Lytechinus pictus: one gene and its partner. The protein of the gene in region 1 interacts with the protein of each later gene in a biochemical or structural test. Links are inferred from orthologs where the notes say so. Each region holds a gene or a part of one and is shown in the gene's direction. Other genes may lie near its edges. The genes, in order: ataxin-3-like and E3 ubiquitin-protein ligase CHIP-like.

Region 1 (16,319 bases):
TCCCTGGCTCAATTTCTCAAGCAACAATCATGGCATGATATGACATGTCAATCAATTGCCAATTGCAATCACATTTTCATCAATAATCTTTCCGATCTTGCTCGTTGCTGGCAATTAATGCAATTTGCCAGTTATTCACTTGGTATGTACTAAAATGTGAATAATTTATCAGCCCTGATGAATATTTTTGTAACTGTCTTGATCAAAACTTAAAGACATAATAATAAGCCAGGGCCCAGGTTTTCGGGTCAGTGCAGAGTAGCCTGGAAGCTTCTGGAGAGTAAAAGTACTACTGTACGTAGACCAAAAGCTTCAGTCTCTGTATTTTGGTTGTTCCGCTGAACTACGTTGGCTCCACTCACCATACATAGACTGAAGGGGATGGGGCCCCGTACCTACAGCCAACGTATAGTGAACTAGCGTTTTATAGATCGCGATTTAAAACTGTTTTTTAAGCAAAATTGAAAGTTTCATGGTTTCCATTATCAGGGAAATATAAATAACTTAAGTAATTGCATACCTTGGGCCGGAGTTATTGAAAAAAATCCTCTGGATGATTGAGAAATCTGTCATCTAAGACATTTTCACCTGACCTGACGGTTTTTCTTGCAAGTTGCCATCTTGAATGACGTCATTATCGTATTAACTTAATGTCTCGAATCGATATATCGCGATTATAACTAGTACTAGTACTAGTATAACTAGTATCGTTTATCTTCGGTTTCGTTCGCATATGGAGCAGATCGTATAATATCGAAAGCAATATCGATATCACATTCGTGATTGTTGACGTTCGTTTGTAAATATTTTATAGTTTGGCTGCCATTTTGACCATTTTTATCGTGTTTGACCATTTTTATCGTGTTCAACCCAATTAAACATCGGTAAAGTATATTTTTCATGCCTTTTTCATCTATATCGTTTAAAGTATTTAAATGTTAGAATATCAAGGTCTAAAAGTTTGTTGTTTATACATCCTTAGATTGTAAATTCGATGTGTAAAATTACATCAAACTTTGGACTGTGAATTGACAAAAGGGAGGGAATGAGAACACATGCGAGCCCACACGTACACCCTACCGTAGGTAAATGGCACTCCTAGTACCAATGAGGTCCAACATTACATGTATGGACCTCATAGGCGACATCAGTAGTATTTTTGGTTAGAAATCTCTGAGAACAGGATATTTATATATTATATCACAAGTGCAAGCTATATTCCTTTCTCTTATTTAAATTATAATTTTAGAGTGTAAATGCATCGTTAGCAACAACAAAAAATGAAAGAAATGAAGGGGAACTTACATTTTCACGGCTTTTTCCTGATTTTCTGGGCAGCTGCTCTTCTCTTCTGACTCGCGATCGAAGCTGATATGAAGATCACGTGATTCGCGTTCTCGTCAGCTGATCGGTTGGTTATTCTTTTCGTCAGACGTTAATAATATATATTTTATAATGCTAGCATTCATCGCTAATTTAGGTGAAAGAGATTGAAGTTAAACAGCGCCAGGTCGGAATCATAATTATTTTGGAAGAGTGTATTTATACACTCGATCTCATACCTGACGTAGACGGCGCTATTCAACAAATGCACAATCTTCAATATAAAAAATAAAACAGAAAGAACGCCTTGAACACAGGCCAAAATGCCTAACGATTTCTCCGCGGCATTAACAACTATCGTAAAGGGCGCTCCATTTATCAATAAAGATGGATGCTAAGGCTGTCTATGGCGACAAAATTTGCCGCAAATATTTACGAAGAATTGTGAGAAATGGTCTGAAAATGCAACAAAAGAACCGGTGAGTACCGATTAAACATTATCAATTTATTTAATAGAACATACTTAATGACTACAATGTAACAATTTCTAGATAATATTGCTTAGTTCTAAGCTAGGGAGGCCCAAACGCGCGTGAGCGGAGTCCCACTTTATTAGCACGGGTAAGTATTGCGGTGTCGCCTAGAGTGGTAAATCATAAATGGGGATTACAGTAAAATGTCAGAAATTGTTGAATAAATCCCCAGAAACGACGGTTATTCCTGTCTATACTGTACGTAGGCTTACTCTCCATGAAGCCTGAGACGAGATGCCATAGGCCCACACATACCGAGTATTTTAGAGACAACAATGTTGTCTAGTCAGTGCAGCCAGAGCTAAGCGACCTTCGCCGCATCGCAGGCTCGCTCGCGATCGTCCCGCCGCAGGTAGCCTAGTACCATACCGGTATCCTCCCCACCACACACTATTTAAATGCCCGCCAAGCGCAAGGCGCAAGCAAGAACTTAGAAGCCGAGCCTCGGCTCGAGCCGAGAATAAAAAAGTTTACTTACCTTTCCGTCGCTTTTCCGACGTACTTTTCTGCATTTCCCGTAAGAGCCACTCCCGATCGTATAAAGAATATCATAATCGCTCAATTTTGAAGGCATCTTGGCGTTTGAATGCCACGATTGTAAAAAAATGTGTGGTCGATGGTCGTCCGTGGTTAAGGTTGTCGATCATGAAATATCATGCACGCACAATATTTTGAATTCACGCCAGCTGATTGACATTGTTTTTGATTGGGTAAGCTTGCGAAGTGAGCAGCCTATTATTGGTAGCAAATAATGCGTGGCCAATTTGATAAGTGGAGCACAATTTGGGAAGAGAACTTTGTACCAGAAAAAAATATATATTGGTGAAGGTTTGATGGAAATCCATAAAAAAATTAAGAAAGTCATAAGAATTTTAAGTTTTAGATTTTTACGTCATATACGAGCAGCTGCCCCGTATTTTTTTAATTTCAATCTTTTAATGGTTCATGATGATTAAACTTTTTTTTTTCTTTTAGGAGCGGCCTTGTGAAATAATTATTGTCTATATTGATATACTAAAGGTGACCAAAAAAAATGAAAGTGACAAGCCATTGTTTTTTTACAAAAAATATGGGGAAGCTTATGCATGTAAATAAAAGTTTGTTTGCTTGTTTGCTTGCATTTATTTCTGCGTTCAAAAACACAATACAAAAATATTTACAATTACAATATACAAAATAATTCACAATATAAACAATGTAGTCATATTACATGATAAATACAAATAAGAGTGTGAGTATAAATTAATCTTTTATAAATGTAAACATATATATATAATGTAATAAATGAACGCAGGAGACCACCATCGTGAGCGGTTAGGCTTGAATTGATGGCGGCCTCATAAAAAGATTCGTGACTTAGATTGATATTTACTGGTCAAGTGGGTGCATTGCAGGTGCAGGTGCTGTATAGCAGTTGAGTAAAATCAGAATGTTAAATAGCGAATGTGGATATTTGAGTGAATGTTTTAATTTGGAGCGAGGGGTTGATAAGATTGAATGATAGTTTTCTTTAGAGTGGCTTTTAATGAGTATATGGTAGAACAAGTTTTAATATTGTTTGGAAGATCATTCCAAATGTCTGGACCATGATGTCGAATTGATTTAGAGGCAATTAACAGTCTGGGGTTAGAGAGATGAAAGTTTCCGGATATGCGCGTTGGGTAAGTATGGACAGAACTATTAAATTTAAACATGTTATCAAAAGACGAAGGGAGCAGATTGTTAATATATTTAAACATAATTATAGCTATTTGAATAGTATATAAGTCGGCAATTTTTAATGTCTTTTGTTTAAAAAATAAAGGATCGGTGTGAGCCAAATAATGCGATCCTGTACAAATGCGAATTGCTCTTTTTTGTAATTTAGAAATAGAAGTAAGTTTTGTGGAACCACAATTAGCCCAAACAACGTTACAATATGTTATATACGGGAGTATTAACGAATTATACAATAGAAGTAAAGTTTTATGAGGTAAAATAAATTTCAACTTGGAAATTATTCCAATATTTCTCGAGATACATATAATGATATGGTGCAGATGTTCATTCCAAGACAAAGCTTGATCTATGATGACGCCTAAAAATCTAGAGTGAGTCTTCCGCTCTAATGGTGTACCGTCAATCTGTAAGTGAATTGGAGTATCGGTAATATGAGAATGTTTAAAATGGATGAAGTGGGTCTTTTTTTAGTTCAAGGATAGTTCGTTTGCTTTAAACCACTGTGAAACTTTAATCAATTCAAGATTTAATATGTTATTTAGGGAAGTTATATTTTTATGAGAAAAAAAGATATTTGTGTCGTCAGCAAATAATACAAATGATAAAATAGAAGATGTGTTGATAATATCATTGACATATAATAAAAATAAAAGCGGGCCTAGAATGGAGCCTTGAGGGACACCACATTGAACTGAAAGTGAACTAGAATCGTTGCCATTAAATGTGACATATTGTTTTCGATTTATTAAATAATCTTTAAACCAAAGGAGTGATTGACCTCGTATACCATAATAATTAAGTTTTGAAAGTAAAATATTATGATTAAGTGTATCGAACGCCTTACTGAGGTCACAAAATATACCAATGACATGCTCTTTGTTAGCTATGGCGTTTGTTATTTTATCGTAAATTTGAATTAAAGCCAAGTTTGTTGAATAATTTTTTCTGAAGCCATATTGATTAGAAATTAATAAATTGTGTTTGTTGATAAATTCATAAAGTCTATTATATACTATTTTCTCGAGGATTTTGGATATACTAGGGAGTAGAGATATAGGGCGATAATTGCTTATTTCATGAGGATTGTCTTTTTTAAAAATTGGATTGACTTTGGCGATTTTGAATAAGTCAGGAAATATACCTTGTGATAGAGATTTATTAAAAACATGACTAAGAGGGTTTGCAAGCGGGTGAATTATTTCTTTTAAAAGAGACATACTAATTTTATCATGCCCATGAGATTTTGAGCTATTAAGAGACCTTGTAATGTTGAGAATTTCTGTGGGGTTCGTAGGGTTCAAGAAAAATGAATGTGGATTAGGTTCGGGGAGATAATCCGTGAAATGCGCATTTTGGCTATTGATCTTGCTTGCAAGTTCGGGTCCGATATTTGTGAAAAATGAATTGAATGAGTTTGCGTGAAGGGAAGAGTCAACTTTGGTACCATTTAAAGTGATATTATCGGTAGGTGGGGGATCTGCATTTGTTCCCATTACTTCTTTGATGATTTTCCAGGTAGTATAAGTATTTGAACTGGCATCTTTTATTCTATTAGTATAATACATTTTACGTGATAAACGAATTAATTTTGTTAACTTGTTGCGATATACTTTGTATTTTTTTAAATTGGCTTCAGTAGGATTGCGTAAATGTGACTTGTAAAGGCAATTACGTGTCTGTATCGATTTTAATAAACCTTTTGTTATCCAGGGTTGTTTGGGTGTTTTTCGATTATTTTTTACCTTTCCTATGGGAATATTCTTTTCATAATAATGTTGTAATTTATTATTTAGGAGATTATACGATGTGTTTGCGTCAGTTTCATTATAGACATCCTCCCACCCCTCAAGTAATAAGTCTTGCTTCATTAATTCAATATTACGTTTAGATTCTTTTCGATATGAGCGTTGGTTAAATGATAAATAACTTGTAATCTTTGATGGATTTCCTAAAACCTTCAACAATTTTTTTAAATGCTATTTTTATAATAAATTTCCCCGAACTTCCCCTTTAAGTAGTGAATTAGTATACTACTATGCGAGTGTGATCTTTCAGAACATACATGAGCTAGATGATCAGTTCAATTTCAACGACGAGAGTGGGGGGGGGGGGGAGAAGCTCGAAGCGGAGTTGAAAAGTAAGTGGAAAATGGACCATCGTCATAACCATCTTATCGTCATCAGTCATTATCATCTTCATCTTTTTCATCATCGTCACCCGTCATGATATCACCATCTACATCATCATCATCATCGTCATCGTCACATCATCATCACCATCATGCCTCATCCCCCTCGTCATTAAAGTACAATTACTTTAAAGGTTAAGTCCACCTCAGAAAAATGTTGATTTGAATCAATAGAGAAAAATCAGACAAGCATGATGCTGAAATTTTCATCAAAATCAGATGTAAAATAAGAAAGTTATGACATTTTAAATTTTCGCTTATTTTCACAAAATAGTTACATGCACAGATTTAGTCATATGTAAATGAAAGACTCGACAATGTCCCTCACTCACTATTTCTTTTGTCTTTTATTGTTTGAATTGTACAATATTGCTAAATTTACAGATTTGAGTCATTTGACAATAAAGACCAACTTTACTGAACCATGAAATGTAAAAAAATGGCAATTCCACGTGTTCGATCAGGGCGAAAGAAAACTTTGTTTCACAGGACAATGAGGACAAAAAATAGATCTACAATGTTTCATATTTCATATAATAAAATACAAAAGAAAATGAGTGAGCGAGTGATGTCATCAGTTCCCTCATTTGCATACCAACCGGGATGTGCATATAAATATTTTGTGAAATTTATGGGCGAAACTTAAAAATGTCATAAGGCTTTTTTTATTTTACATCTGATTTTGATGTAATTTTCAGTGTTGTGCTTGTTGGATTTTTCTCTTTTTATTCAAATCCACATTTTGTTGTGGTGGACTTGTCCTTTAACGTTGAACTAAATATCAATAAAATTTAGTCACAGAGTGATACAACTTGCCCAGAGACAGTGTGCATGCACTGATATTCCTCTTTTAACTTTCAGTTTTACTTGCACCATCCCGGCCTCCTTCCCTCCTTCCTCTGCCTCCCTTTACCTCACTTTTATAATTTTATTATTTACTATTAAGTTTGAATATTATTTTCTCTTAATTTTGTAGTCGCGTATCGCTTATTTGCTAAGGGCTAATCCAGTATTTTCCAAGGGGAGGGGGCACATTTTTCAAAGGAATTAAAATTTGACAAGCAAAAAAAAAATAAAACAACAACAAAAAAAGGTTGTCACTAAAATTTGAAAGTCATTATTTCCTGCTTACACTTTGACAAGCAAACAAAAGAAGCCCTGATCACTTGTGTATGAACGACATATTTCCATGAAAAATATTTGCTGTGACCGCAAGGGGGTGGGGCACACTTGTACATGAACGACACATTGAAAATATTGACTATATGACTCTCAAGGGGGGGGGGGGCACGTCGGCACGGAAACGCCCCCCATGGATCTGTCACTGCACTGATGTTCTATAGTGTTTGTTTATAAGCTCGTCCAGTCCGCCCCCTAATGAATGTATACGTATGAAACTATTCTTGTATTTTGTTGAACGGAAAATAAATAAATCTAATCATCATCATCACATCATCATCATATCATCATCATCATCATCATCATATCATCCTCATCATCATATCATCATCATCATCATATCATCCTCATCATCATATCATCATCATCATCATCATCATCACCATCATCATCATCGTCGTCACCATCACCCATCATTATCATAATAGCTTCGGGGCGGCGGGAAGCTAGGGGCAGGGGCGGATCCAGGATTTTCCAAAATGGGGAGACAAATTTTTTTTTGGGAAATTTTTTTTTTGACAAGCCCGCGCCCCCCCCCCCCAAAAAAAAGGTTTTCAACTACAAATTAAGGATATTTCGTACCCGATCAATTTGACAAGCAAAAAAAAATAAAAAATAAAAAATTCAAAAGAGGGGGCACACCATAGCACTTTTACATGACAAATTTTTAATTTTGCTTCTCAAAGGGGGGGGGGGGGGGGGCACGTGCCCCCCCCCCCCCTGGATCCGCGCCTGGCTAGGGGCACCGGGGCAAGCTAAATACGAACCGTAGCTAGCTAATGATTTTTCAAGTAGGCCCTATACGTCTGTTGAACACAGAGTAGGGAGAAAAAGCAAAGAGTATAAAAAAACAGTAAGCGAATTAAATGAGAGTACCCGGTATATCAAAAGCATGGAAAAGAGCGGTCGCGGTCTGTGTCGTATAAATTCGAATTGATATAAAAATGTAAATCATTACAGAGGTATAGATCTTTTCAACAGCAACGCAAAGCATAATCGCGTCGTTGACTTTACGGATGGCAACTCGCCTACAAATAAAAATATTACCCACGGAACTCGCACAGCAGCACCGGCACCACGGCTGGGGTTTCTCAAGCTACCTTTCCAATTCCGCGCCGGGGAGCTGCCGGCGTGCGGCGCTGATGAAGTGCGGTGGCGCAGCGTCTTGTAGCGAGCTGCTAGTCCGTAATAACTAACTTCACGTCTAGCTACATGAGAGAGCTCGAGAGATGAGCTGCTAGATTTAATTTAGATCTAGGCTAGATCTACTAGGAATAGGGATCTGTCAACTCTATCACTAGGACGAATAGGAGTCGAGTCTTAAGCCAGACGAGGCCGAGCTGAGGATGGATTCTATCTTCCATGAAAAGGTACCGAATTAGTTTTTGTTAGAAAGATAAGATAAGATTTTAATTTTTTATTAAACTCTATCGACCCTAACCCAGAGAGCTCCAGCCCGCGTAGCGGGCTGGAGCCCAGACGCTCAGTGTGCAAACGGGCATTCAGGTGAGAGTACCGTGAAGTTTGGTCAAAATAATTTTGATAATACATAATTAAAACAGAAATTAAGCACTTACCACGATTGTATGGATGATAGTCTAACGAGTGGCAGTTTCCTGACATCGAGGCACAGACTGGAACCTCAAAAAACGATCAGTTCTGTCGCGGTGGCTCTCCTTCTTTCAAAATTCATAGCAAAATGGCCGTTCGAGAGGGTGTAGGGCGCATGCGCGAATTTGACAAAGTCTATATGCGCTAGTGCTATACTAGCCCTCGATCGGCCATTTTGTGTTGAATTCTGAAAGAGGAGAGCTACCGCGACAGAACTGATCGTTTTTTGAGGTTCCAGTCTGTGCCTCGATGTCAGGAAACTGCCACTCGTTAGACTATCATCCATACAATCGTGGTAAGTGCTTAATTTCTGTTTTAATTATGTATTATCAAAATTATTTTGACCAAACTTCACGGTACTCTCACCTGAATGCCCGTTTGCACACTGAGCGTCTGGGCTCCAGCCCGCTACGCGGGCTGGAGCTCTCTGGGTTATATCGACCCTAGCCTAGGGCCTAGTAGTATAAAACTAGTAGTAAAGTATAAACCCAGCGCCAGCCCAGGGAGCTCCGGCCCGCGACCGTGCAAAACGAGGGAGACAATCGGTTAGATTGGGGACTCAATAGTAATCTTAATAAAATATGGAAGCAGAAATTATGCATTTACCACGATTATATGGATGAAGGTCAGGTCTATCGAGACACACAAATCCTGACATTGAGGCACAGACTGGAACCTAAAAAAAAAACAAAATATATAATAGCCTCGGTCTCGATTAGCCTGCCCTGGCCCTGGAGGCTTCTTGGGAGTAAAAGTCTTTCTACTCAACGTAGACTTACTTATTTAGCCTGGAGGCTCCTGGAGAGTAAAAATCAGTCTACTATACGAAGGCTTACTCCCCATGGAGCCTGGAATTGCTTCCCATATGGCTACACTCCTACAGTACAAATACCGTCCCAAAACCTGAAAGTGAAACTTTCGCCCCCGAGATTTCTACTATCCCTCTAAAAGATCTAGGCCTAGCCCTAAATCATGTACATGGGGTACAACTTCATTTTCGACATTTCTACGATATTGATTTCATTTTTAAACAAGAATTCATTAAAAAAACGAGAAAAATGTTATGAAAAGACGGGAAGAGCTTACGGCGGTGTTTACGTCGCCATCTTGATTTCTTTGTCTTTCGCTTTGAAGTGAAGTTTGGGCACCCAATCATACAAAGACTCCTCGGAAAGACACCTCAAAGTCAATAAAGTCTCTAGCCTAGGCCTACGTTAGACTCCAGGGGCCCGTTTCTCAACAAATGGACAAGTTAGTCATATCTTTATCCACCAACCACGGAGTTAGTTCCAATCTTACTAAACCTGTTTCTCGAAAGGCTTCCTAACTAGAATACCTTGATATCGATACTATCGGTAAAAAGAGCAGACGAGACGTAGCCTTAGTCACAAAATAGCATAATTTTCAAAAAGAAAAATTATGACATAATTGCAAATATTATGATGAATTGGGAAATAAGTCTTTTCAAAATAGTAGCACAGGTGAATTTAGACCAAAAGCTTCAGTCTCTGTATTTTGGTTGTTCCGCTGAACTACGTTGGCTCCACTCACCATACATAGACTGAAGGGGATGGGGCCCCGTACCTACAGCCAACGTATAGTGAACTAGCGTTTTATAGATCGCGATTTAAAACTGTTTTTTAAGCAAAATTGAAAGTTTCATGGTTTCCATTATCAGGGAAATATAAATAATTTAAGTAATTGCATACCTTGGGCCGGAGTTATTGAAAAAAATCCTCTGGATGATTGAGAAATCTGTCATCTAAGACATTTTCACCTGACCTGACGGTTTTTCTTGCAAGTTGCCATCTTGAATGACGTAATTATCGTTATTAACTTAATGTCTCGAATCGATATATCGCGATTATAACTAGTACTAGTACTAGTATAACTAGTATCGTTTATCTTCGGTTTCGTTCGCATATGGAGCAGATCGTATAATATCGAAAGCAATATCGATATCACATTCGTGATTGTTGACGTTCGTTTGTAAATATTTTATAGTTTGGCTGCCATTTTGACCATTTTTATCGTGTTCAACCCAATTAAACATCGGTAAAGTATATTTTTCATGCCTTTTTCATCTATATCGTTTAAAGTATTCAAACATTTAAATATTAAGTTTTAAAAGTTTGTTGTTTATACATCCTTAGATTGTAAATTCGATGTGTAAAATTACATCAAACTTTGGACTGTGAATTGACAAAAGGGAGGGAATGAGAACACATGCGAGCCCACACGTACACCCTACCGTCGGTAAATGGGGATTACAGTAAAATGTCAGAAATTGTTGAATAAATCCCCAGAAACGACGGTTATTCCTGTCTAAGGTGAATTATGCATCATACATACTTAAACCATGAAGACTGGAGCATTCAATTGCAGAGAAAATTAAATTATGAATAATTCATTTCATGACTAAAAAATCACTTGTGGACGTTGAGATGGGTACCCCCGAAAGACCCAATTTTAATAGTTTACGAAAGTAAACCATAACGGTTTTCTTTGCAAAATGATGATAATTATACGGACTTTTACGATTCCAAACGTCATCAAAATATATTTTAACGAAACATTTTTAATCATTGATACCGAAAGATACGATATTAGACAAATTATATGCAGAAATTAGTGATAGAATTCATCCAACTGTTAATAGGGGTCTGAAAACAACAAATACGAGTTCAGTTATGGATGGCCTGACGTGGTAGAATCTTTATCGATTAAATCATTTTACTATTTCAAAATGAATGGTTTTGTGGCGTTTACCAACAGTTTTTATAGTTTCTTTGTATTACAATTATCATTGAATGCATCAACCCACTTGTTTTGTGATGTAATTTCAACCTATATGATTGATTACGTAAGATTATAATTTATAAATTTCTAGGCACTTTCGCATGTCATAGTCTACCCACGTGATGCCACTACGTCATTAAGAAAGAAGTTACGACAGGTTCGGAGGTGTCATAAATATTTAGTGAGGTTGTTGTACCCGATCTTGGTAAAGAGGGCTTCGTGAAACGGTTAGCGGACAAGTAGCTCACTATCTCCGATTTAGTCAAGAAGTTAGACTTATGACGGTGTTGAGAAACGGGCCCCAGGCGTATGTCCAGCGTAAGGTGACCAGATCAGGGCAGTCAAATTACGGGACACTTTGAAGTAAATATGTCGACAAGGGCCCGTTTCTAAACATATCTAAAACATTCTAGCCTATTCTAACCATTTTTGTCTCGCCTGCATAGCAGAGCGAGACTATAGGCGCCGCTTTTCCGACGGCGGCGGCGGCGGCGTCAACATCAAATCTTAACCTAAGGTTAAGTTTTTGAAATGACATCATAACTTAGAAAGTATATGGACCTAGTTCATGAAACTTGGACATAAGGTTGATCAAGTATTACTGAACATCCTGCCTGAGTTTCAGGTCACATGACCAAGGTCAAAGGTCATTTAGGGTCAATGAACTTAGACCATGTTGGGAAAATTATTTTCAAAATCTTAACCGAAGGTTAAGTTTTTGAAATGACATCATAACTTAGAAATTATATGGACCTAGTTCATAAAACTTGAGCATAAGGTTAATCAAGTATTAGTGAACATCCTGGTCGAGTTTCAGGTCACGTGATCAAGGTCAAAGGTCATTTAGGGTCAATGAACTTTGGTCAAGTAGGGGGTATTTGTTGAATTACTATCATAACTTTGAAAATTTATGGACCTAGTCCATGAAACTTGGACATAAGGTTAATCAAGTATTAGTGAACATCCTGGTCGAGTTTCAGGTCATCACGTGATCAAGGTCAAAGGTCATTTAGGGTCAATGAACTTTGGTCAAGTAGGGGGTATTTGTTGAATTACTATCATAACTTTGAAAATTTATGGATCTAGTCCATGAAACTTGGACATAAGGTTAATCAAGTATTAGTGAACATCCTGCCTGAGTTTCAGGTCACAAAACCAAGTCAAAGGTCAGTTAAGGTCAATAAACTTAGGCCATGTTGAGGTAATTGTTGAAGTGCCATCATAACTTTGAAAGTTTATGGATAGAGTGAATGAAATGTGGACATGGGTGTAGTTGACAGTCTTAAGTCTCTGTTCAAATGTCATTTATGGTCAATGAACGTGGTATTATGTCATTATATGAATGATGTTTTTGTGAATGATTATTTTATAGTAGTTTTCAAAGTTAGCACTGCTGCTATATTACATTGCGTAATGCAGGCGAGACTGCCAGAGGCGTTCCACTTGTTTAAAATATGCCTAGGCTAGGCTAGATCTATATTTTCACTAAAACATGTATTTCATTGAAAACATAACCAAAAGAATCTTTCTTTCCTTCCTTCCTTCCTTTCTTTGTTTATTTCCGCCTTTCTCCCTTTTTTAATTCTCTCCTTGTCTTTAAAATTATCTTTCCTTCCTTCCGTTTATTCTTTCTTTTATTATTTCAATGATACACGTACACCTTTTTAAATGTTTAGCATGGTCTCCTACAAAGTACATGGAAACGTATGCTTATGATAGGAAATAAATTACAGAGCTATGATATTTTTGGTCATGATGGACAAGACAAATAACTTTGATATAAAGGAAATACAATTAAACGGTTTCATGTTAGTAGTCATGTTAAAAAAAGTGGAAAAATTAGTCAATGGTATGTAATACTGTAAAGCTGCTAAACTTGTAAATTATTTTTGGGAAAGTTACATGTAAATATATTTTCTGGTAAGTATTTTCCTACTATCTGAAAATGTATTTGCTCAACCATGCAAGTACGTCTCCAGACAGGTCCTCTCATTTTTATTTCTTCTCAGCTTGAATCTTTCATTTGGGTTTTGGTTTCTTTTAAATGCAAATTAGTCAGGAGCAAGAAATGTTCTGAATGTTTAAAAAGTTTTTGTCTGGACAGGAACAAAAGAAATGTACAGGTCTATTGAACTTTATAAAGAGGAATGCTACATGTACATGCTCCAGTGAACAAGTGCTCACTGCACAGGTTGAACTTGAAGCTGACTACATGTACATCATGTGTACATGAAGTGTTGAGAGACACACAAGCTGTTTGTATTTTACATTGTATGCTGTTTTCTGATGTCTGATCCTGATATCCTACAGTGTAAATATGTACTTTGTTGATTTTGGACACTGCATTGAGTCTTTTTATTTCCGTGACTTTTGTATGATGTAGGCCTATATTCATAAAAATAAGCCATGTTTCTATTCTTTAATGGAATTCATGTTTGCGATTTTAAAAGATAAATGGAGCTCATTTTGCTTCAATTTTAATGGGTTTCCCCCCATCATTCTAATTTTTTCTTTTAGTTTTGTACATTTTCATAAGTTTTTTTGCCGTTGTATGTTATGATTTATTTAATCTTTTTTGTATTGTTTGGTATCAATCGTATCTACCATACTTTTTAGAATCAAGTCTACTTTTTCAACAGACTTTTTCAACATATTTTTGGGCCATAGAAAACACCTTTTTCAGGTAGGAAAGGGGTTATGTTTTATTATATGCTTTTCAGATGCTTTTTTATCATCCCCGCAGAACGTTGGGTCAGGGCATCAGAAACGTTTGGACCATCTTAGGGAAACCTCCGTCTTATTCAGACAGATGAGCTGTCCAAGCATATGATAACTAGGGAGAGTACTTTGCAGTCTGCAACCAACTATCTGTGCTAAGAATACATGCTACACAACACAATGGAATAAAGTCTTAAGTTAGAACATGATTTAAATGAAGGTTTCCATGGCGACGAAGAAGAGTGTAGTGGTTTCACGGTGTGACGGTACACCATGTATTCTTTCATGGTCCTGACAAAATAAAAAAAAAAGAGATTGATCCCATCTCATTTTCATTGGTCTTTCTTTTGCCATTTTGTGACTTTGGATTCAGACCAACATATGCCCACAAAGGAATACATATGATGATGTACCGTGAAACCACTACACTCTGGAACATGATTATTGTAACGAAAAGGATAAAAAGTAATCATGTGATGTATTTTTTTGTGTATTCTATTTAATCTATTAACAGTTTTACCCCCCTTTCATTTCTTACAGCAAGAGGGCTCTCTATGTGCCCAACATTGTCTGAATTCATTATTACAAGGTGAGATAAGAATGATTCAATTTTTATCATTATTTATAATTCTTACCCTAATACTCGGGGGGGGGGGGGCACTGTCAAATTTACATCGGTACTTCCTAGTGCCTCAATATTTCAAAACAAGATTTCATGATTTCAATACCCAAGAAAATTGAAAACGATAAAAAAATACATAAATAATTACCAAAACTTTTTTTTGAATTGATGAGTGAGTTATGAAAGACATTTGTACCAAAAATTGCTGTTTTTTAAGGCTTTATTTTAGTGAGAAATACCAAAATCTATGATTTCTTGCATTAATAAGCATAAATTAATTTATTTAACCCTAATTCTCCCGGGGGGGGGGGCCATAATGGCCCCCCCCTTGACAATTTTCGCGATATATCTGCTGCGCAAATTTTTTTGACCTCGCCGCTCACTGACTTTTTACTTTCAAGTCTCGCGCAAATTTTGAGACCAAATTTGTGACGCCCGGGTACACGGTTACGACATTACGCAACATTATGTAAGTGCATGTCAGACCCAAAATTGCTCATAAACGTGATTTCATGTACAAATCCAATGCAAATTGTGTATTTAGCCAAAATTCATAAATGTATCATTATTTCTACTTTTACTGATTAAACTGAATTAATTTTGCCTTGTTTATGATCAGAACTAAGTCTGGAATGATTTCCATTGAAAAAACAATAAAAAACAAAAAGTAAAAAAACAAAGAAATACATAAGAAATTCATAAAACAATAAAATACATAAGAAATTGATTTCCGAACCGAAGTTTTTTTAATTGCGATTGTTAAGATTGCTACAAAGAATTTTTTTACCAAAAATTAGCATTCTAGGAGCTTTATTTAGTGAATTATAGCAAAAAGTATGATTTATGCATAAATTAGCATAATTAATTCATATAAAATAAAATCTCATTATTTTGGAAAATTTTACCATACAGCCTTGTAGATTACATCGCACACTACCAGTGTGCAAATTTTTGCGTCGCTCGCGCAATCGGCGGCCGAGATCTTAAGGGGGGGCCATAATGGCCCCCCCCCCCGGGATTGACAAGAATCAAAATACCCCGGGAGATTGAGGGTTAAAACAAGTTAAAGGACTTTCGTAAATTTAGCTATATAACTTTGTACACTACATAGTTCTTGACCCTTCTGCAAAATTTTGAGGAAATCAGGCGACCCATGGCTGAGATCACCGCAGGGGGGGGGCATAACCTTTATTATATATGTACAGTATAGAATATAAAATATTTTTATTTTTACAGATTTGGCAATATGTGATTATCTTCATTGAATCACTACAGGTTGTAATACTTGCAATCCCACATATTGCATAAGAGGAATTATTAAGCATGGTAACAGTTTAATGAGGAAAAAATTGAAATATTTCATATCGACATTAAATGTATGCAATCCAAGTGATAGGCCTAATGGTTGGATAATGTCATTGGTTAATACCTCATTCGCATACTGACCAGGATGTGCTTCTAGCCATTATATGAAATTCAGTGGGACTTTAAAATGTCATAACTTGAAAAAAATTTTTTTTTACATTTTTGTATATGATTATGATGATATTTCAGCATTATATTTGTTTGATTTTCTCTTTTCACTCAAATCAATTTTTTTCTTCAATGGTAATATAATGTAAATTGG
Region 2 (16,939 bases), on another chromosome or scaffold:
TGAATGTCCTGCCCCGTCCAAATATCCCTGGCAAATGTTTAGCCCAATTTCATGTCATATCATGTCAATCTTTGTATCGAGTAATCATGAACAATATCTAATTATTGAATGAATAAATGATCACCTCCGCTTTCATCTTTATATTTTTTTTCTTTTGAATGACAGGGGAGAATCAATCTGAAAAAGAAAATGGTGTGCAATACAGGCAAACGATTTTTTTTTTCATCCAAACCCTGCCTGATATAGCTTGACTGGTCAAATCGATGAGTCTTCGAAGGAAGTTTATATGATCGATGTACTTTAGCTCTAAGGTTAACAAACAGTCCCAGGGCGAGTATATAACATCAAGAAAATATTAAGGATTGCATGCAGGACGATGGACATGATGGAAGCAGAGAAGATGACAAAGAAAAGACAGGAAGAAGATAGAAAGGAAAGGTACGAAAGATGGCAAATGGAATATGTTTATTGTTGTTCAGCCTCTACGGGGCCTCTACGTGGTTTTTCAATTGCGTGAGTTCTACCTTAAAAGGGAATACATTAAGGTGAAATGATTGCTCAATGTTATTTATATTTATTTATTTTATTTATTTACTTATCCATAATAGACACATTCCACAAATCATTAAAGTACTAATTATGACAATATTATAATCGTGAAAGAAAATGAAGATAAAAATATGAAACAGATATATAGAGAGATAGACAGATATGAAAATAGATTGAGTAAGAAGGTATAGATGCCAGGGTTGAGGTAAGACGTAGAAGGAGAGGTGCTGGGAGAGAAAAGGAGATAGACAGGTGTTGATAGAGAGCGGAGGAGATAGCCAGGGGAGAGATGGGGTATATAGAAAGATAGGAATAGAGAGATGCAGATAGAGACCGAGAAAACAGAGAGGGAGGTGGGAGAGATAAGAATAAAGACAGAGGCTGACAAAAGGAGAGAGAGAGAGAGAAGGGGGAGTGGAGGCGCGGTGGAGATATAAAGAGGTACAGCTCTAGCATGAGGCAAAGGTATGGATAATCGTATGCCTCTTCAGATCGAGAGAGAAAGAAGGGAGGGAGACAGAAAGATCGCGATAGACAAGGAAATTGAAAGGTTTAATAGAAAGAGAAGTTATAATCCATGAAGGGCGAGACAGATTTAAAGGCAGATATATAGAGCGTAGTCCTAGAATGTCAATGGAGAAAATCAATTGCAGAAAAGTTCGTTCGGAGTCTAATTACGGTGTAATGATTTCGTTGCTAAAATTATATACTTTGATATGCTATTTCATTAACAAAAAGACTGTCCCTATCATTTCTTTAGTTTAGGCATGGAGGTAGAATGGTTTAGGTAAGTCACCCAAAGAGCACGTCATAATATTCCAATTCATTACTAGAATGTAGGTGCCCCCAAACGGTTCTGATAATTATGGAGGATACAAAATGAAAATGTGTTTTATTGAATAAGTTTACCTATATTACATCAAATCTATTTACATCGGGTATTCGATCAAAATTAAATATATCCGCATCTGGGGCCCGTTTCATATAAAGATACAACTGTTGTAACTTTGCTATTATGGCAACTACCATGGTAACCTTAATTGTGATTGGCTGCTGAGCCATGTTGCCATGGTTGTTGCCATGGTAGTTGCCATAATGGCAAAGTTACAAAAGTTGTAACTTTTTATGAAACGGTCCCCTGGTCCTGTTTATAATATACATTGCCAACCGAGCATATAATAATTCAGTAAAAATTTCAGGATATAATCTTTGTCCGTAGCTTCCTGATAGCCAATTACTAAATTTGTAAAGTAAGTGCTCAAACATGACTTGTCTAAGAGCTATTTTGAATAAAACTATAAAAAAATATATTATCGGAAGATAATATTTTGAGAAGACAAATATGAATTTATAACGGCTGAAAAAATACAATGAAATGGGACGTTAGACGACACTTGAGTTTAATTCACACGCATGTATTAAAGCCTACTATGCCTATTGTACGAAAGTTTGTTAAATTTCTTCTTTTTTTTCTCAAATTTCCTACAGCTAGAATGTCAAGCGACGTCTCTGATTTCTCATATCATAACAACAAAATAGGGAGGGTTGGGATTACCCACTTGATAGCCCATCGTCGTCATCATCATCCCCGTCATCACTGCCGTCATCATCATCATCATTATTGTCGTCGTCATCGTCGTCATCATCATCAACATAATCATCATCATCAACATCATCATCACAGCAAGAAAAAAAAAGTAATTGATCCATCCCTGCTCTCCCCTTACTCCCCCTCTCTCCCCTTCTCTTCATTTCCCCTTCTCCTCTCCCCTCATCGATCTTTTGTTTTCTCTCCCTCTCTCTCCACCCCTCTTTCCAGGCTACTTTCCTTATATGACATTCATAATTATCATCTAGCCCGATTTCTGCCTAAGGTTAATTACATGGATCGGGCGAGAAACTAGCGACGGATGATCTTTGAAATGGGAAACCTACTTCTTGAAAATCTATCCTACAAGAAAATGAAAAGAAAAGGGGTGAAGTTACGAGGATCATGGCCAGGATATCCGTGTAACCATTAGCCCTTGTAGCCTCATCTTGAATGAAAGTTTTGATTCATGGGAATTATTGTCAAATTTGAGAGTCGGACGATATGCCAACTAGATCACTAATCCGATGTGTTTCGCTCGTACATAGTTTAATGTGATCATGCAGTAATAACTGGGGTGGCGGCTTTGGTTAATGGACCCCAAATGTTCACGACCAAGAAAAAGAGAGAAAAGGGAAGGAAAAGGGGGAAACGTGATATAGTTTTGTGAATATTACTTTTTCTTCAAAAAGTCAATTTTTTTGAAATTTGACCCACATACATCCAAATGTTTGCCAACTTCATGAATGTGTGGTAACGTAATATCTGCAAAGCGAGAATTAGGTCCATCCATAAAACAAAATTTTAGTTCGAGTTTGTAATTCGGAGAGATGACTTGAGTTTATAGTGTTTTACTCAAATTCCAAGCAAAGTCGAAATATTCCTTACACGTTATTATTGTCTTTTTTATTTATTATTTCCATGGGAAAATAGAAATGGTAAGTGAATAAGTACAATGGATAAAATGTTAAAAACATAAAGTCTATCATTTCGGAGGTGATTAGATTTTAGTTCCTAATCGCCGAAGAAGCTTGGTTTTGTATCAACAGCTGAAACTAAATGTAATATGTTAACCCCCTCCCCCCACATCCGAAACTATGGAAGCTTTTAAGTTTCACTTGTCATTATCATGATTATGGCGAAAATGTTTAATCTTACCAAGTCGACTTATCTTGCAGTCTTACTAATCGTGTGATTTGGCATCATTATAAAATGTTAGGAGCAACTTATGTTAATTGTTAAGTCAACTTGGTCAGATAAATACGTTGCCATGTCTACATAATTATACTGTTGCCCAGTCAAATAAATTTCATTTATCATATAGGCCCTATCTTATTGGAGGAGGGGCATAGACGGATCCAGAGTACGAAGAGGCCCCTCCTACAACCCCCCCCCCCCCTATTAGCGCTGGAAAAAGGAAAAGAGATGGGGTAGCAATTAAGAGAAAAAGAAAAGGATAAAAAAATTCCATGAACCCATCCCCCCTTAAAGGGATAAAAGAAAAAAATACGAGGAAAAGGATAAAATGTTATTTTCTGAATATTTTTGGTTAAAAATCAATCAGAAAATAAGATTTGCATTTTTTTTATTTGGCTCGCCCGCTTAAACTCCTTTGCACTTTTAAGTGATTTCGTCACGTACACGCGACATGTTGTGCCCATCTTTTTTAATTAATTAATTTTTTATTTTATTTATTCATATTTTGGGGGGGTTCATTACTCCGCTGCTGGGTCTGCTCCCAATTCAGTCGTTTTAAGTAAAGAAGAGAACAGTTATCACTGGTAAACAATCCCATTTGATACTAAACTCGATGATGCACACGAAAGGAAAGGTGCGAAGTATGACTATGTTGTGAGGAACGGGTTAATGTGTCTTTCCATGGGATAGAAGTCCAATAGGATATGAATGGGGCTATAAATCAAATTTTCAAGCCAACAAAATATTCTCGCTATTTGAGTTTTTATTTTTTTTTCCATTTTTTTGTGAGATACGCATCCTAAATGTTCAAAATTTAAAAAGAAAAATGTGCTGAATATCTAAAAAAAAATTAGCTCGCACTCCGCTTATGCATCAAAATTGTTGAGCTATACACCCATTCAGTTCATGGCCAAGTGCTTAGGCCTAGAACGTCCAGTTATCATCTCATAATGATTAATATCAACAATTTTTAGTTGTGCTTCGCGTTGATTTCGGTGAGATTATGATATCATTTTCGTGATTTAAGTAGATTTTATTCACTCTATCGACCTCCTCTCGGGGTATGAGACTCAGAGTACAACATATAAACAACATATAACAAAATATAGATATTTGCAAACAGTTATAACTTCATATCAATATAATGTACTAGTAATACATTATACAATCTATTTACACAAGAAAACGAACAAGTCGTTTCACTAACCTACCACTTCGGGTACGAACTGATCTACTACATGAATTAACATTACAATCATCTTTCTTTGATTTTTGACTTAATTCCAACGTAATGAGGTGAGCAACTTTAGCTATTTTTTTAGGACGCCCACTTTTTTAGTATTAAAAAGCTTTTCCATGACCAGAACACTTCGATGCACGGCGTATACTCTGTGTTAACAATCAACTTCTCTATTTGTGAAAAAAAGGACAAACAAACAATTAATAGTGATACCCGGTAGTGATATTCGTCTCCTAAGTCAGAAGAATGGCAAAGTATACACTGCATTTCAGAATTAGCATGGGATGTGAGCATTGGAACGACCTTTGGTAACAGGTAGTGTACGTGATCTACATCTGAATTTAGAAAGTGTAATAACGTCTTCCTTATTTAAGCACTGTAAATATTTTTTTTCATATTCATGGTTACTTTTAAATATTCTGTAATTTTTCGAATACGATTCTGGGCAAAAATATATTGTACCCTGGATTTGATAATATTCATGACAATTCTTGTAACACTCGAGCCATTGAATTGATCAAGCCAGAAATCTGATAGGCCTGTAGCGACCGCACAGAAACACTGTTAGTGAAGGTGTTGTTAGTGCTAACAAGTCACTAACAAATCAGCCACTAACACCATGAGCAGAATGAACGCACAGAAAGCGCTGTTAAGCACAGGTGTTGATAGTGGGTTTGAGCCTTATAGTTAGGCAAAATCTATGACGTACTATAGTGATCTATGTGTGGATTGATACAATATAAGGGCCTTTATCCCATAGGCTCAATGTATTATTCCCATTAACCCAGGGTTCGGATTTGCACCATTAATTCTAACTTTGTGATGACATTGTACCGCGGTGTTAATTACTGAATTCTGATTATTTTAACCATAGTAGGTCCATGTTTTAACATAATACATAGACCTTAACATCGATGAAAAAATTATATATTAACGGCAAAAGTCAATAACTGTTTGATAGGGGAAGGGGGCTGTATATGTTTGCTCGTAGAGTGGAAGAATGACTTCCGTCTATGGAGGTGTATATAGGGAAGCAGGATGTGAAGTATAGTCATACAAACAATTGAACATTAATCAAATAAAAAAGGCATTTAAAAATATGTGATATAGTTTTGCATAACTTACGTAAAAATTATATTACATATTATATTTACTATATAGGCGAGCTGATGATGCCATTTGTCATTTCCCCACTTCATAATTTTTATCATGGACCAATGAAAAAGATGGACGATTAACGCGAGTATTTCTTTGATCCAATGATAGTCACCGTCATCTGGTTATGTGCATCTTAATGAGAACATACAGGTGTTGTTACATTAGCAATTACCATGACTACCAAGGGTATCTGATCACTCAAATACGGAACAGTTTCCCGGTCCTGATTTTTGTTGGCAGATACCCTGTTTCAGCATTTGCCTTTCAGTCAACATGCTTCATAATAATGGAGCAGCAAACTTGAGGAGCAGACGATTTTTATGATATAAAATATGATATTATTCGATCCGCTAACTACCGCTCAGACATAAGGACCTCAATAACACTGAGAGATACACGATCTATAAATGTTGTGTGCCACGTATATCTGGAATATTATGGAGAAACTTGGGAAAATTGAATTTTAAATGGTAAACAATCAATCACAATGTTGCCTCTATATTAAAATATGCGGACATTTCCCCAAATAAAACACATGGAACTAAGATTACCAAAGGTTAACAAAAACTGCACATCAATTTTCCATTATTTCATTGATTTGTTATCAACTGCGCATATAATTTGTGAAATATAAATGTCCAATCACTAACTGCTTCAGTCCCTTCTCACGGTGACCATCATAGGACCAAAGAAGACTAGTATGAAGAGAATGTTATTCAGATGACAATTACAGTCACCTGTTAGTGAATTCATTATCTAAGCGATGGATGTCCATCTCTTCATAGGTCCATGTTTGTATATGAAATCGTGTTCATTTAAACTGAATTTGTCCTTACAGTTGAAAGTAAATATGACCACTGCTTCAGTAATCATCATGACCATTTACAAGTTTTACATAGGCCTACGTGTAGTGTTGAAACATAAATTTACCAGTTCACGGTCAAATCAGGAAAAGGGGATATGACTTATATTGGTTTTGCAATCACAATCATAATCACAACATGTACATAATGGGGGGAAACAAGGTAATAACAACAGTAATATTAATCATGAAATAAGAAAATCGGACTTGGCTTCGTAATTCTATTCTAGGATATTCATGGTGGCATGATAGGCATCAATGTTTTCAAAAATACTGTACAGTATTCACTTCATTCAATTCATATTTTATTTATTATTCTTCATTATTTTCCATTTAAGAATTATGTTATTGATTGTAATTACAGCCTTCTCATCTAATTTCATTCTGTTTTCTCCCACACGTATTGGGGATTGGAGCATTGGCGGATCCAAAGCAGTAATCAAAATTTTTAATATAAACATGCCAGCCATTTTTACCCAAGTGTGCCCCCCCCCCCCCCCTTTGAAGCAATAAAAGACCCTTTTTTGCATGTCAGTTTTTGTTGGGACAACAATATCTTCAATTTTAGACGTAAACTTTTTTTTTGCTTGTCATACTCTTTCTCGGGAAAATGTGCCCTCCTCCCCCTTTCCGGGCCCCTTTTGGAAGAAACTGGATCCGCCCCTGGACTGGAGTACCCTTTTAATTCTATCTAGGTCTATTTTAAAGCACTTGATATACAAGTTTTATGCAAGACACGCAATAGATATTCACTAACATTGTCACTATCGGTGCCCTTGGCACTGTTAGTGAATAGTTCAAACATTAGCGCTAATGTTAGCTTCTGTGCGACCTTGTAATGTTAGTCTAACAGCGCTAGCTAGTGATTGGGCTAACATTATGCTTCTGTGCGGGCAAAACCTCGCTAACAGTGCCGGTTAGTGCTCTGTTAGCACTAACAACGTTTCTGTGCGGTCGATACTATCGATTCAATGTATTTTCAATGAATTTTAGCCAAGGAGCAGTGGCGTAACAGGCGGGGGGCAAGCTGCCGCCCCCTGGCGGATTTCATCGGGAAAAGGAGAAAAGAGAGGGAAAAGGAAAAGGAAAGGGGAAGGAAAGGGGAAAAGGAAAGGGAAAGGAAAAAGTGACAAGTGACAAGAAAACGAAGAAAAAAGAATTAATGGAAAAAAAAGGAAAGCGGGAAAATAAACGAAAGAAGAACATTTGAGAAAGAACAAATCATTACAAAATGGGCCTGTGTAATGCACCAGTATGATTAGTAAGAAAGGGAAATAAATTAAAAGATGACAAAACGGCAAACAATAGCTGGAAATGAAGGTAGAATGGAATTAGCCAAAAGCTAAATTGGAAAACGAAGAATAGGGACAAAAAAAAGAACTTAATAACACGACCGGGCTACCGAGGATTGAAAATAAAGAGCGGGAAGAAAGATGGACTGATACAACATTGTGCTATAGGCTTGCTAAATTTTATGAAAATAAGCTACCGGGCTCTGCTCCAGACCCCACGCAGTACGTAGGGACTCTTCATGTATAACCTTCAAATGGCTCTATATATAACACCCCTGGAAGGATCCTTCCTACATTAAGCTTTACGTTCCATCACTGGCGTACAGGCGGGGGGGGGGGGTTCTTGTTTCCACACCCAAGAGGAAATACAAGAAATTATAGGAGACAACGTAACGGAACGAATGGAAAAAATGAAATGTGTTATTTGCTGAATATAATGGAAAAATCTGTCACATGATTAGTATTTTAATTTCGATAAACATTTTTTTCCAGCTCGCTATGCTCGCGTTTTTCCCGCGTTGCTATATTGTGCCCCCTCAAAATATTTGATTCATTACGCAACTGCAGTGGGATGAGTAAATGTGTTATGTAAAAGCTATATTCTGTATATACCCGCGATTTGATTAAAAATAGCGGCAATCTGCGAGGTTTAAAATGGCTTTGATAACAAGAAGTTCCGGGGGCTCCACCCTGGTCCCCAACCGCATAGTACTGACGTATATGATTATGGCAGGGTTGGGTCATGGTCCCCAAAAGTTCTACAACCAAGAACAAAAAAAAAGAGGAAAGAAAAGCAAAGGAAACGTGTAGGATATGATTTTATTTATTGAATATAATGTCAAAAAATATCTCAAAGTTAGATTCTCATGAAAAGGTGATTTTTTTTTCTCGCTCGCTTCGCTCGCTCGGGACGTATATTAAGAAGCTTTTTAGCACATGCGCCATACTGCGCCCCTCGTTTCTATTTTTTACTTTCACGCTATACTGCCGCAAAGAATCATGTTCACAGTGGCGTACAGACCAAAAAGGGAATGAAAGAGAGAAGGGTGAAATATATTATGTCAAAATCTATCACAAAATTTGATTTTTGAATTAAATATGTCACAATTTTTGCTCGCTCGCTTCAATCGCTAGCAACTTAAAAAAAAGGATAAATTATGCCCGATACGCAATATCTGGCCCTCTCAAAATTGTCGCCTCAAAACACCATGATATGACCGGGAAATGTTTGACTCTTGCCCCCCCCCCCCCCCTGGCCACCAACCCCTGTTACGCCCCTGCCAAGGAGCTACAGTTATAATCTGTTAGCTCATCTAACCTAAACATAAATTTCAGTATCACACTTGAATATTTGTTCTCATGTCATTTTAAAATTCTCAACCAGAAGCCAATTACTCTACATTTATAATGATTCAGAATCAACCCCGTCCTGTCTCCCCATACACCATAGTGTGCACTTGTTTACAAATAATATTGTCCTAAGAAACTTTCTGTGTAACACTTCAATCTGGCTTATGTCTTCATAACCCCATATTTCGCTCCCATACAACAGGATTGGTAAAATCAGATGGTCAAATAAATGACACTGAATATCAACTGACAATTGCATTTTTTTTTTTGGGGGGGGGGGGCTTTAGCTAACAATGATAATGTTCTTCTCGCCTGTGTGACTCGTTTTTTTTTAAGGTACAATTATTTATTTTATCCCCAAGTAAAAAAAAATCATAAACGACTTCAATCGGCTCATTATTAAAAGTGAAATAGGCCCTTCCTAACTTTACCCCCAGAAAAAATGACTATTTTGGTTTTAGAAGTATTTACAGTCAAAGTTGAAGTGACATTTTCTGCAATAATCGTGAACTGAGTTCAATGCTGACTGCAACTCATCAGGGGTTTCTGCCAAAATGACTGTTTCATCAGCATATAAAATACAAAATAATTTAGAAAATATTCCAAATCCTCATCTTGTAGGACATTACAGAGATCCTCAGATAGCAAAGTTCAAGCCTGGATAAAATCTAGAGATATATGTTCCTGAAAATCAATAAAGATGAAAGATTTTCACCTTGTCTTACGCCGATATTACAACTATAAAAGTCTGACATGTTTACAGACACATGATTTTGCATATACAACATTTAATACTTTTCAGTCCATTTACCTCTGATTTCGTCATTCTAACCACAAAGATTGCCCATCAACTAAATCAAATGCTTTTTGTAGTCTTAAGGCACAGTACACACGCCTCTTTTTTGTAAATAATAGTCAACAATAGCCTTCGAAGCAAAAACTTGATCAACAAATTGTAGAATACAGGAGGAGTCACTGCAAATAGGCCTTAACGTGTCCCTTTTCAGGTCAGTATATATACCGGTACAAAATTTAGGGCGCGCCGGAGCCGAAAAAAAATTGTGTCCGCCTTTGTCTCCCCGGAAAAAAAAGTCCTTTACCCCCGACTCGCACCCCCCCCCCAAACGGTTTAAAAATACTGTTGCCGCCACTGATTCCATCCCAGACGTCTGGGGAAGGGAGGGGAATGTACATATTTTTAGTTAATTCAACTGGTGGGTTCAAAGACCACTTTGCAAAGATGAGTCAGAGATGGTACGTAATAAAGTTGATATAGACCCACTGACGCGACCCACAATATATAAGCACATTCAAAGTTAAGAAAGAAAAGAAACACAATTACAGGCTATAAAAACATGTAGGGCGCATCATTGCATATGGAAAGTCCCCTTTTAAAAGAAAAAAATATTGCTCATGCAGTGTAGGCCTATATACATGTAGTTATAAAATCTGTGCCTATGATATATCTTGATTTACCTTTAAGTTAATTTATTGTTTACACGCAGTGCCTTGACAATATAATAAAAACAAATGAGAAACGAAAAGGCCAGTAGTTTTATATTATAGCCCCCCCCCCCCTTTCTTGCGCTGCTGCAGATTCGATTACGTCAGAATCAGATAATGATCGAGAATAATCCAAATGTGATTCAGCGCAGAGCGCTATACCACTTAACTTAGCCCCTAGAAGATTGAAATAATGCATAAAGTATTTTAGACCTATATTCTATGGACAGAGATACATATCGAGAGCAATGATTGATTGATAGCCGATATAACTGTCATCAATTGTCGATGTTGACAGAATTACACTACAGAGAAGAAAATCTAAGCGCACTAGCACTGTAGGTACGCGTGCTGGTGATCGAAAACTGACATTTGTGAAAGAAGATGAACATAAAGATGAATGCTACGGAACTAAAGGAACAGGGGAATCGCTTTTATGGATCACGCAAATATGAAGAGGCCATTGGATGCTATAACAAGGCCATAGTGAGTATGATATTTAGCCTTTGAATGCATAAATAATCACAAATATTGCTTACAATGTACGAGCTTTGCTTACTCTAGTCCCACTCATAAACATTTGTGTAAGTAATTTAGCAAGGTCATGAAGATATTTGGGTGAAAACCATACGGCATACCAGACAGCTGGCAGCCGTCCGTTTCGAGGACTCTATTTACATTAAAAAAAATTCTCCTCGTACACAGACGGCTCGCGATCGTGCAGCTGCCATTAGCATGATTAGGGGGTTAACAATGCAAAATCCCCCCGACGCCGACGGGGCTCATCGATTTTTGTCTTTAATAACAATAGTCAATATGAAAAGAACTGGACCAAAATAAACGTCATTCCGTTTTCGCCTGAAATGCACCAAAACGGGGAAAAATAATTTAAAAGGGGGGAAAAAAGGGACTTACTTCGGCTGTCGCGCAACTCTCACTTCCCTGGTTTATCCAAACTAAGTTAAGTCCAAGTAAAAAAAGAAAGTAGTTGATCGTCCTCGCGCGCATCTTTTTTGGCCACCGCATGAAATATATTACTTTTTACTATTTTCAAAAATTTGCTAAAAAATATAAAAAAGTGATGTTTCTCGTCTGCGCCTGCTTCCCTTTTTGATTGCTGCATCAATTTTCTTGATATTAACAATTTTTATGGCTGCTGAAAAGCGAAAAAAATAAACAAGATTTGCGAGCAATTTGCTCTCATGTGCTCTGGGATCTCTCGCAACTTCCTAAAAACAAAAACAAGTCCGATATCGCGGCTCGGTCTGGCGATCACTGCTGTAAATACACAATGCCTTTTAAAAGGCCACCGCACACCTTATGATTGGTCTGCAACCCAATGTTTAAAGGAGAATGAAACTCTTGGAGCGAGTTAGCTTTTGTGAAAGCAGAAAAATCAAAGAATAAGATCAACAAAAGTTTGAGTAAAATAGGACTAGCAATAGAAGAGTTATGAGCATTTGAATGTCGAGATCACTAATGCTATGGAGATCCTCCCATTGGCAATGCGACCAAGATCTATGATGTCACAGATGAACAACTCTCCCCTTTTGGACACTGAAAATATACCCCAAAACATCTCTTTTTGCTCATTCTAATCATATGACAAACGATTCATCAATGATATAATGTTGTGAAACCTCTGTACTTGTCCTCTCATAAAGAGAACACCTCACCTTGTGATAGACTCTATAAAAGTGAGAATATAAGTGAAATAAGTACTAAAGTAATGAGGGAGTTGTACGTGTGTGACATTACAGATCTTGGTCGCATTGCCAATAGGAGGATCTACATGGCATTAGTGATCTCGACATTCAAATGCTCATAACTTTCTTATTATTCATTCGATCTTCCTCAAACTTTCAACAATATATTTCTTTGATTTTTCTCTTTGATACGGATTCAGCTGGTTTCAAGGGTTTCATTCTCCTTTAAATGAAAATTGCATTTGATGAGAATATTGAGACATGGAACATCTAATACTGTGGAAAGTTCTAAATCATTGAAGGAATGCGTAAATTGTTCAAAATCTGTGACTATACTACACTCCTTATTAGAATAATTTATGAAAATTCAATAGTAACATTGTCATAACAATCACACGATTGGCTGATATTTGAAATCAGTTTGGTCTTGACTGAAATATAATGCCTTCCATTTTTCCAAAATTTTGATTTAGTATTCCCATAGTTACTTTGAAACTTAAATGAAAAGATTCTTTTCATTCATACATGTACTTTTAAAAAATAAGCAAATTGTGATTTCTTTCAAATTACATGTAGATCGTTGACCAGTTGTAAGGGGGGGTCTTTGTATTTGGCAACCAGTCAATTTGACTATATTCGCCATCATAGATATTTTTCAAGTTTATTTTCTTTGAAAAAAAAATTATTTAAAAAAGATTCAAATCAGGGCGCGACAAACCTGCTTGCCCGCTTGCCCAGGGCAAGTGAAATTGACGTGTGGGCAAGCATTTTTCAAAGTCAATTGCCCGATCGGGCAAGTGCTTGTTTTGAAAATGAAAAAGATAAATTGACAGTAAAGTTTAATAATTTTTGATAAATTGCAATTATCCATCAATTATCTCTCATACAATGTCATACCAGTAAAAAAACAGTGGAAACATGTCAAATCAGCGCCAATTTACCGACATTTTATCGCCAGCGGTCCCGTTCGATGGGTGCTGCCATCTTACTTTCTAAACTACACTGTGCGCATGCGCTACTAATCGACGAAGGAGCTAGCTGGGGAAACCCCTCTCTCGCCCTCTGAGCGCATGCTCTACATGTACTATGGACGTACACAAGCGATCGCGAGCCAGTCGACTCTCGAGCTAGATCGCGCTGAATGCATGCAAGCTTCGGACTGACTCGGCCAGGATCAGGGTGACCAGACGTCCCGTATTTTATTCATTTCTAAAACATTTTAGTTTTTTTTTAATTTTAAAAATATATATAAAAAAACACCAAATATCATTAGGATTTTTGTTATAAAATATGATTGGATTGTTTTTATTTGCTTGAAGTTTGAACTTTTTCCTCTTTCTTTCTTTTCTATCCTTCCTTCTTGCCCTTTTTTGTTACATATCTATTTTTATTTCCTGTTCCTTTCTCTCTCTGTTCATTTTATTTCTTTCCTTCTTTCTCCTACTTGCCTTCTTAATACATTTCCTTTTTTATTTCCTTCATTTGATCCTTCTCCCTTCCACTCGTTTTTATTTTCGTTCTTTCTCTCCTTCCATTATTTTCTTCTTTTTTTTCATTATGGCCTCCCTTCATTCTTTCCTCCCTCTCTTTCCTCCTTTCTTTCTTTCATTATTTATTTCATTTTGCCCTTCTTATTCTTTTCCCTTATACTTTCTTTCCCTTTCTTCCTTCATTCCTTCCCTCCTTCCTTCCTTCCTTCCTGTTTTCTTCTTTCTTTGTTTCTTTCTTCCAAGAATGAAGGAAACATTTTCTTTCCTTCATTCTTTCTTTCCTCCTCTTTTTTTCTTACTTTCTTTTTGTCTTTCTCTTCTTTATTTTGACTTTCACACATTTATTAATCTTCCCTTCTTTTCTTTTATTTTTTTCTTACTTTCTTTTTGTTTTTCTCTTCTTTATTTTGACTTTCACACATTTATTAATCTTCCCTTCTTTTCTTTTCTTTTTTTCTTTCTATATTCAATTCAAAGAATGAATCTCTCATCCTTCTTTTATTAGAGCTTTCTTATATTTTTTATTATTTCCTTCATTTTCCCCTTCATTTTTTCTTTCTTCTCAATTCATCTCTTTTCTTTCTCTCCTTCACCCTCCCTTCCAATTCTGTATATTTTTTTCACAAGTCTAACACTGTGTAGCCTTCTTTCTTGATCTTTTTTTTTGTCGATTGTCCTGTATTTCATTTTGTGAAATCCGGTCACCCTGGCCAGGACTCGGCTTCAACTTCAAACCAAATAAACAATGAGTCGTCAGACTAAAATAGGCCACTTTTGTCGTCGTGATTGGCAACCAGAACAACTTGAACAAGAGTCAAGAAAAAGAAATGCCAAAGGCAGCACCAGTAAATCAACTTCAGCCAGGACAGAAAAGAATAATTAAGAGCAAAATAATTTTCGAAAAAAAATCGGGCAAGCAGTTTTTTCTATCGGGCAAGCAAATTTTTTTATCACTTGCCCGACAGGGCAAGTGATGATTTTTTTTTTGTAGAGGCCTACAAATATTGATTTCTTTCTTCTTTAAAGAAAAATATTTTCTCTTCATTTTAAATTCCTTTTCCTTGTGTGTTGTCTCCCCTAGTCTATTTTCAGACCCAAAAGGATGGTGATCATAAGGCTTGGCATGATGACGTGCATGACACATTCTTCAGATGTATTGGTTACTGCATTGTCATGGTAACAACTTATTTTGGCAATAGGGGAAAATGCTATACTTATACATGTAAGGTTCTTGATGTGGTAAGGGTATTAATCACCTTCAGTGATATTTATAGTTTCTACATGTCTTGTATTATTTCTAGATGAAAAACCCATCGGATCCCAAGTTCTTTACCAATCGAGCACTGTGTCAGATAAAGCTGAGACATTGGGATCATGGTGCGGATGACTGTCGACACGCTTTAGAACTTGATCCCTCCAACATCAAGGCACATTTCTTCCTGGGACACACTCTAGTTGAAGAGGAGAGATACGATGAGGCCATCACAAGCTTTCGCAGAGGTATGTTTATGTATTCTTGCTAAGATATATAATGAATGCAAAGTGTTTCCCCCATAATCTCAAAACTGTATTAAGTGGATGAAGTGAACTTTATATGAAAACAAAAATCTTATCTCAAACCAACTCATAGGATGAAAAGCAGTGATGCTGTAGGTTTCCTGAGGGTGTGTACTATGATGAATATAGAATTATCCATGACCATGTCTCTTAGTTGCAAACTTGATCCTGTGTTTTACAAGTTGGATATTCAAACTATCATAAGTATTTGCTTGCCATGTCCTCTGCAAGACTTGAGCTGGCTGATTTGCCAAGTCCAGCTATCAATTGATGTTTATATTCCTCATATAGCACATGACCTTGCCAGAGAACAGAAAGTGAATTTTGGGGATGACATAGCTGCTGCACTAAGATCAGCAAAGAAAAAGAGATGGAATATCCTAGAAGAAAAGAGAATTGCACAAGAGATTGAACTGCAGACACATCTTATGAACCTCATGGAAGAAGATAAACAAAGGTAACTTTAGTTTTATAGAGTACCAAAGTGATGACATCACAAAAAACTTTTACAATTTCAGAGTTTTTGATACCATATTTGGTAGAGCACGATGAAAAACCCCCACTGCCAAAATTTGGTTGGAATCGGTCCATGGGGGCCTGAGATATGACCTCATGAATACATAATTAGCCCCATTGAAGTCAATGTATTATTGGCCTGGTTTCTTTCATGAGGTCATATCTTGGGGGCCCCATGGACCGATTCCCACCAAATTTGGGTTGTGGGGGTTTTTCATCATGCTCTACCAAAATATGGTATCGAAAACGTTAATATGCTTAAAGTGAAAATTGATGAAGTCGCACTTCGGTACTCTTTTACAGTATTATTAATCACCTGTCTTCTTCTGGCGTCTGCCTTACTATTGCTTTTAAGATCTTTCTTCTCTTGTTTCAATATCTTCCGTCTTCCACTCTTTCTCTTGTTCTGGGCTTATTTTGTTTTTTTTCCATGATTCTTTATTTTTACCTGTCCACAAGTCAGTTTCCGTTGAAAAGGTCCTCGGCTTTTCTGAATACCCCTCTATTTTATTTTTCTATTTTTATTTTTGGTGGGGATGGGATGGTTTTTTTCATTCACCTAAAATTGTCTTTTTTTTTTTCCAAAACTTCTACCAGTTTTATCTGAAACTATAAACTCACCCTCTGTAATATGGATACATACATGAACATGTATAAGTCTTTATTATAATGTCCCTTTAGCAGCACTTTTTATATTGATTTAATGTGGTATAAACCCAGTAGTAGTAGTAGTAGTGGTGGTGGTGGTTGTGGTGGTGGTGGTGGTGGTGGTGGTGGTAGTGGTAGTGGTAGTGGTAGTGGTAGTAGTGGTAATGGTAGTAGTAGATGTAGTCGTAGAATTAGTAGTATTAGTAGTAGTAGTGGTAGTATAGTCCAGTCAATCTAGCCAGATTAGGGGGGGGGTAACCCGCCACTAATTGCAACACTGGAT

What was found.
Region 2: of the proteins of ataxin-3-like (region 1) and E3 ubiquitin-protein ligase CHIP-like, one has a biochemical effect on the other in vitro, tested with the Homo sapiens proteins (6 studies listed by BioGRID, with this or other methods). The link is inferred for Lytechinus pictus from reciprocal best matches to the Homo sapiens genes ATXN3 and STUB1.

What each region holds. Positions count from the first base shown.
Region 1 is NC_087251.1:48,004,368-48,020,686, forward strand, and holds the start of ataxin-3-like, read left to right. Parts: upstream 1-7,750; 5' UTR 7,751-8,288; coding exon 8,289-8,312; intron 8,313-13,534; exon of another isoform or gene 13,535-13,663; intron 13,664-14,610; coding exon 14,611-14,659; intron 14,660-16,319. Other genes in the region: serine/threonine-protein kinase Nek2-like, read right to left, coding at 2,335-2,430. UniProt on the Homo sapiens protein: Deubiquitinating enzyme involved in protein homeostasis maintenance, transcription, cytoskeleton regulation, myogenesis and degradation of misfolded chaperone substrates.
Region 2 is NC_087254.1:34,707,808-34,724,746, forward strand, and holds the start of E3 ubiquitin-protein ligase CHIP-like, read left to right. Parts: upstream 1-10,820; 5' UTR 10,821-11,123; coding exon 11,124-11,225; intron 11,226-15,236; coding exon 15,237-15,435; intron 15,436-15,783; coding exon 15,784-15,949; intron 15,950-16,939. UniProt on the Homo sapiens protein: E3 ubiquitin-protein ligase which targets misfolded chaperone substrates towards proteasomal degradation.